2 linked regions of the Callithrix jacchus genome follow. The protein of the gene in region 1 interacts with the protein of each later gene in a biochemical or structural test. Links are inferred from orthologs where the notes say so. Each region holds a gene or a part of one and is shown on either strand. Other genes may lie near its edges.

What was found. The genes of interacting proteins can lie anywhere in the genome.
Region 2: the proteins of KPNB1 (region 1) and KPNA3 form a complex in vitro, tested with the Homo sapiens proteins (2 studies listed by BioGRID and IntAct, with this or other methods). The link is inferred for Callithrix jacchus from reciprocal best matches to the Homo sapiens genes KPNB1 and KPNA3.

Annotation. Positions count from the first base shown.
Region 1 is NC_133506.1:118,627,058-118,630,704, forward strand, and holds part of KPNB1 (importin subunit beta-1), read right to left. Parts: intron 2,680-3,647; coding exon 2,532-2,679; intron 2,243-2,531; coding exon 2,171-2,242; intron 469-2,170; coding exon 324-468; intron 1-323.
Region 2 is NC_133502.1:66,189,246-66,192,992, reverse strand, and holds the start of KPNA3 (importin subunit alpha-4), read right to left. Parts: upstream 2,552-3,747; 5' UTR 2,484-2,551; coding exon 2,415-2,483; intron 1-2,414. UniProt on the Homo sapiens protein: Functions in nuclear protein import as an adapter protein for nuclear receptor KPNB1. Binds specifically and directly to substrates containing either a simple or bipartite NLS motif.

The DNA of each region.
Region 1 (3,647 bases):
TCTAGCACTTTGGGAGGCTGAGGCAGAAGCATCACTTGACTCAGGAGTTTGAGACCAGCATGGGCAACACGGCGAAACCCCGTCTCTACCAAAAATATAAAAAATTAGCCAGGCATGGTGGTGTGCATCTGTAGTCTTAGCTACTGGTGTGTCGGGGGTGGGGGTGGGGGCTCAGGTGGAAGAATCACTTGATCCCAGGATGTGGAAGCTGCAGTGTGCCAAGATCATGATACGGCACTCCAGCCTGGGTGACAATTATTTAAGGCCACTGAAATGCCTGCATTCTAAAGACATTCCCTGACCAGACAGTATTTTTCACTGACCTTCCACCAGTGTGCTAACTGCCATCAGGGCATCCTCTTGTACTCCCCCAGAGCCAGCTGTGCTTTGGAACATCCTTAACAGGGAGGCCATGACCACATCAGAGATCTGCAATGCATCTTGATGTTGCACTTTCCGAAGAACATTCTGTGAAATGAGTAAGAGTTCAAGATCAGTTGATTCCCAATCTCCCAATCAGAACAGTATACCTTCTTTTTAAAAATCAATTAAGTCCTTTGACTTTCTTTTGTGAATGCCAAATGTACTTTTTATACTAAAAAACTCTGATAATACCAATCATTAACAATACTTTTTTTTTTTTTTTTTTTTTTTGAGATGCAGTTTAACTCGTCGCCCAGGCTGGAGTGCAATGGCGCAATCTCGACTCACCGCAACCTCAGCCTCCCGGGTTCAAGCAATTCTCCTGCCTCAGCCTCCCAAGTAGCTGGGATCACAGGCGCACACCACCACACCTGGCTGATTTTTTGTATTTTAATAGAGACAAAGTTTCCCCATGTTGGTCAGGCTGGTCTCGAACTCCCAATCTGAGCTGATCCGCCCACCTCAGCCTCCCAAAGTGCTGGGATTACAGGTATGAGCCACTGCACCCAGCCCTCTCCCTACTTTTTTGTTTTTAAGACAGAGTCTCACTCTGTTGCCCAGGCTGGAGTATAGTGGTGTTATCTTGGCTCACTGCAACCTCCGCCTCCCGGGTTCAAGCAATTCTTGTGCCTCAGTCTCCCAGTAGCTCGGATTACAGGCACACAACACACTGTGTCAAGCTAATTTTTGTATTTTTAGTAGAGACAGGGTTTTACCATGTTGGCCAGGCTGATCTCAAACTCTTGACCTCAGATATCTACCCACCTTGGCCTCCCAAAATGCTAGGATTACAGGGGTGAGCCACTGTGCCCAGCCAGCAATACATTTTAACATTCCCCAGTTTCTGAATTTCTCAATTCAGAACCAATGTGAGCTGATCCTCCATTGTGCAGAAGGTCATGTCTGCATTTTATTTGCCTTAGTGTCTGACAAATCCATGCTGGTAGCCTCCATAGTCTAGTCTTACTAGATAGTTAAATTACTTGAGCTTTAAAAAAGCCCTGTTACCTTAGAGCTCTTTTTAATAAAACAAACAAAAAGCAACCCTTCCTATATCCTACCCATTTACAGATGGTCTAGAAATAATCTTGATAAAAATCAAACCAACTTGACTTCTCTCAATTCAATATACATTCATCAAACATTCCTTCTTCTTGTTTCAATTAATGTCACTGACAATAGGTCAAACAGCAAATGTTTCAAAAGATGATGGTACAAACTCAAGGCTTTATTTTTAGTCAAGTGAACTATAGCTGGGAACCAAATATGACTGAGCTAGGCTCGAATAACTTAATTAAAAACCAAGAGTTCTTTTGGTTTTCAAAATCAAAAAACCAAAACCATTCAAGCTGTCAACACAAACCAGCTATACAGCTGGGAGGAACCATCAAACATCAAGTAGTTTACTTCTCTACACTGAGACATTAGTTGAAACAAACAAGAGTGAGGAAGGGAGGTTTGATGAGTGTACACTGAGTTGGGAGAAGTCAAGTTGATTTGAGTTTATCAAGATTATATCTAGACCATCTATAAATAAAGTAGGATTTGAATCTTTCTAGACAGTGAGGAAAGGCCGGTGGGAAATTCCTCTCCCAATTCATCAATCACAGACCAAAGTCTTCTGAGAACAGCTTCTGATCAGCATCATCGATACCATTTTTGAGTTCTGTGTATACATGAACTTGTCATACTGAGATATTAATTATCTTTCCTGGAGTTACTAAGAAATGATATAGCACCATAATACCTGAAGAGTTGCGCAGAGTAAAGACTGAAGGTCATTGAACTGGATTCTATCGGATGTGCTCTGGATATGTGACTACAAGGAAAAGAAGAAAACATACTCTACGTAACCATTCAATAATCTTCCCTAATGCCAACACAGGAAAGTAAACAACAACAACAAACCCACAATATATATAACACATGTCTGAGTAAACCATGACAAGCAATGCTAACGTTAAGGTGTAATTTTTTTTAAATAAACTTCATATCCTTCTGAGAAAATATATAAACACCAAAAAGACAGAACAGTCTGGAAAATAGACCTAGGTGTCCAAAGTACTGCCCTATTCCCACCCATAGTCAGGGGCCTTCTTAGGTCTCACCTCCATCTGAAGCACCTGCTGCAGTCGCTCCATGATGACCAAAGTCGTTTTCTGGACAGCAGGGTAACAATCCTTGGCACTGTTTTTCACAATTTCCATCAGAGATTCATATGCAGAACTCCTCAGGTTGTTCTGGTGTCCATCGGGTCTGTAAAGAACACAGCGAAAATCTTAAAGGCTCAACTGAGGGGAAAGGACAGAGAATAATACAGAGAATATAGACACTGTCTTGCCAGAAATAAGAACTCAGAAACTGGTATGACTGCAGACATGGTTTGAGTTTGGAAACACAATATCTAATAACCAAATCTTCAAGTCCTTTGAGCCAACAGTTATGTTCATTATGGTCTCCAGACAGCTAAAATTTAGAACGGTCCTTTAGGAAATGAGCTAAAATTACAGAGGGAAAAATGGTTTGAAATGGTAAAGAACCATGTTAACAATTTAACAGGTTGTCTGAATAGCTATGAAGAAAATACCCCAATTTTCTTGGGTACAGGTGACTCACACCTGTAATCCCAGAACTTAGGAGGCCGAGGTGGGCAGATCACCTGAGGTGTCAGGAGTTTGTGACCAGCCTGGCCAACATGGTGAAACCTCATCTCTACTGAAAGTATAAAAATTAGCCAGGCACATTGGTGGGCACCTGTAGTCCCAGCTATGTGGGAGGCTGAGGTATGAGAATCACTCGAACCTGGGAGGTTGCAGTTAGCCAAGATCACACCATTGCACTCCAGCCTCGGTGACAGGAGCGTGACTCTGTCTCAAAAACTAAAGGAAAAAAAAAAACATTTTGTGCTCAGCTCCCTTCCTGAAGGTTTACTTTGTTCATGACTTTAGGTATAGCTGACATAAAGCATGAATCATTAAAGGTTGTCTCCAACTTATAATCCCCTTTAAACAACATTTCAAAAGCTTGTTTATAAGTCAACTGTATTCACCCCAAGTTCTTGATCCCATATAAAAATATGGTAGTTGTCGGGGAAATTAGCTGGCTATGGTGGTGTGTGCCTGTAATCCCAGCTACTCAGGAGGCTGACACGGAAGAATTGCTTGAACCCAGGAGGTGGAGGTTGTGGTGAGCCGAGATCGTGCCATTGCACTCCAGCCTGGGTA
Region 2 (3,747 bases), on another chromosome or scaffold:
TAATTAACACCCCCACTGAATGAAAACTCCTTGAGGTACAGACTGCATCTTATCCCTTATCCCAAAGACCTAACATTGATAGATACTGAATAGACAATTAGTGAATAAATAATGCCCATATCCACTGAGTGACTTGCACAGGCTACATAAGCACACTGAGGTTTTGCATCTAAAGTTCCATCTGGGTGTGATAGCTCAGCATCTGCAGTCCCAACACTTTGGGAGGCTGAAGTGGGGGAATCACTGGAGCCCAAGAGTTCAAGACAAGCTTGGGCAACAAAGACCCCATCTCTACAAAAAATTAAAAATTAGCCAGGTGTGGTGCTGTCCACCTGTAGTCCCAGCTACTTGGGAGGCCACAGTGGGAAGATTCCTTGAGCCTAGAAGTTTAAGCTTGCAGCTGAGCTAATGAGTGCCTGAGTACTCCAACCTAAGTAACTGAAGAAGACTCTGTCTCAAAAAATACTTTCCTCATGTAAAGTAGGGATAACGCCACTCCTAACTCATACACTTGTTGCACAGATTAAACAAGGTATCCTGAAACTCTTAACACAGCATCTGCCACAATAGAACTACCATTCGCATGTCTATTTCATGTCTTAAGTTACCCTATAGAATCCCAAGAAATGTAGTGTTGTGACCAATACCAGGCTGAATGGCTTAGCAACCATGCTCTTTTTCATGCATCTAAAAGTTACTGGTTACTTGTTATCATCAGCAAATATTTGTTGTGTACCTAGTATGTGCAGGAGTCCTTACTAAGTATCACTGAATTACCAGAACAGCGTAATAGAGGTAAACAATGAAACAAAAACCTGTACCAATATCCAAGAGCAGAAAAAATGTTATTGGTTTTAAAGTACAAACAATATGAGTATTTTTCAATAAACTTTTATTTGAAACGAGGTAGACCTCAAGAATGGGAAAAGTTCAAAATTAACACTTATCATCAGGACAGGAGGCAGTTCCAAAATTTCTTGTTCCTATTCCTAAGTTTCACTTTTGCTTAGATTTCTCTCTCACAAGGAGTATTTAACCATGACCAGGAAAGAATACATGATCTTTATTTGACTCATTCAAATGGGAATTCCACGGATATCTCCCCAGGTTTTTTCTACTAGTATTTAATTTTGTAGCTCTGAAAAACAGCCTGAGTTTGTTTCTCTACAAAATAGAACGCTGAATGGTATATACAACCCACCACCTTCCTTAGGACAGGATAAAATACTCACCTCTTAATCACACTAGCCTCTTAGCAAAAACTACAAAACTGCATATCATGTCACCCAGTATTAGAAAAGAAGGCTGTAGCCTTAAACCATTTTCCCCCTAACAAATCCAAAGGTCACAGGCCCAGTGAAGTTTGTGCATGTACTCATTGCTTTCAGCAGCTGCAGAGAGACCTCTAGCGCTGCCTCAATAAGCCGAGTTTGCAAATAGTACCTGCTAATGTCACCTTAATGAGACAATGGCAACATGCTGAGTAGCAACGAACTGAGTGACCGCGATGAACGCTTAGTTTTGCAACCACTTGGAAATTCTACTAGCTTGTAGCAAGAGGTATGTGAGAGGACTTATGAACCTATGTATCCAATTTATTTCAGTAAAATGTGTCAAAGAAATTATCACCCTATGCACACCCTACTCCAAGAAAGGCTAAGAAAATAAGTCCTGTGAGCGGAGGTCGGAACAACCTCTTTTCCAACGCCTGAACACAATAGATGGCAAACTATTGTCCACCTTCAGCTCGCTCCAAATACCAGCAGTTGCAGGAGTATGAGCTGGAACAGCTCGGCACGACTAGACCAAAGAACAGCACTGGAATATAAGAAAATAGTCCTGGCGCATCCTACCCTCCCCCATCCATCACCCTCAAACAAGTCAGTTACCCGGCTGGTCCCCACCCCCCTCTGCGGGCCGCCACCGCCCGCCAAGGCCCGGCTCCCAGAAGGTAGGAGCCGGGACCGGCAGAGCCGAGGCTCCATGCGCGGGAGGCACCGAGGGGGCTGCACCGGGCGGAAGGTTGCACTGGCGGGCGCCAGCAGCAACCGCCCCTCGACTGTGCGGTCGTCGGCCCGGGGCGGCAGCATCCCCGTTCGTCCGCGCGGCCACCGCCCGCGGACCCCGCCTCAGCTCCTCATCCCCTCCTCGCCGACATCAGGCCGCGCCCGCGTGACAGGGCCGAAAACCCCGGCATTTCCCGGTCGCCGGGCCGGCAGCTCTGGAGGGTGGCTGCAGCCCCGCCCGCGTCCCGCCGCCCGCTCCGCCCAGCCCGGGGCCACGGTGACGGGAGGCGGCGGCCAACTCCGGCCGACCACAAGCTGGCGAGAACCAGCCCGGCGCCGGCCCTCCGCCCCTCCTCGCGTCGCCCAGCGGAGCGGCCAGGCGGCCCCAGATCGCGGAAGCACACTCACTTCCACATCGCGGCCCTTGTTCTTGAAGCTCTTGATGCGGTGGTTCTCCAAGCTAGGGTTCTCGGCCATGGCTGCGCGCGGCTCCGGCGGCGGCTACTCCTGAGGCTGCGGCGGCGGCGACGAGTCTCGGCGCGGGCGGGGGAAGAGGGGGAGAGCTGGAGGGAAAGGAGGTGGGGGGGAAGAGGAGAGCACGTTCCGTGACGCCTCCGAGCGCGAGGTGGCAGTAGCGCCGGGGGAGGCGCGGACCGATAGCCGGGCCGGGTGGGGCGGGAACGGTTCTAAGAGTGGCGCGCGCCCGCGGAGGCTGGCGACACGTGACTGGGGGCGGCGACCGGTTTGGGCGTTTTCGGGATGACCCTGCCCTCCTTCCCTGCAAGAGCTCTCCACAACCTCACGGTGCCGCAAGTCCTGTGCCAGAAATGGAACGGGACTTCGCGGCTTTTACCGCCCCTCAGGTGCGGGTTGGCGGTCGTCAACTACAGTTCCCAGCATGCCACGATCCGCCCGGAGCAATTCTACTTGCCTAGGGAGGACGAGGAGCATGCCGGGATCGCTGCGCGCGGCTGTTTGCGCGGCGCGCTCATATTGCTGGGCGCGAAGTCCCCCCCAACGACCCAAGTCCGCCTCTAGGCGGGGAAGAGGTAGGAGGTATCCTGGCACTTTGTGCCCTATCAGGAGGAAGAGGGCGGGGTTTCCTGGGAGCGCATCTCGCTGCCTGTAGCTAGAAAATCAGAAAAAGAACAACCGCTGGTGCTTCACTGTCTCGCTGTTTTGTGGGGGTCTCCTCAAATAGCAGCCACCTTCATTCACTGTTCCCATGCTCTGCTTCAGTTTTATAAATAGCACTTATTTCTACCTGACATGTACGTAAGTATCTATGAGATATAAGTGCAAGTGTTTATGTGCGTTACCTGGCTGCCCGCACGGGGCATTCAGCTCAATGAGAGCAGGTACTTTCGTTGAATTGCTGCTGAATCTCTAGTGTCAAAACAATGCCTAGCGCGTTGTAGATACTCAATAAATACTTGTTGAACGCCAGCTCAACAACGACACTTTAGTGTCGCCCAGTTTCTTCATCATCCTCCCAAGCCAGGTTCTGCAACCTTCACTCTGGCAGTTCCTGCGTTTCCATGCCCCCAATTCTTCTTTTTCTACCACCACACATAATCTTAGCCCTCAGGCAGCAGTGAAGCCCTGGGCCGCAGACTCTCCCGTGTAGCACTCCCACTCCCCACCGGGGGCGTGGAAGGAATGATGGAGGGAAATTTGGATAAATTACACTAATAAAGAGCTGCTTTGGCCGGGCGCGGTGGCTCACGCCTGTAATCCCAGC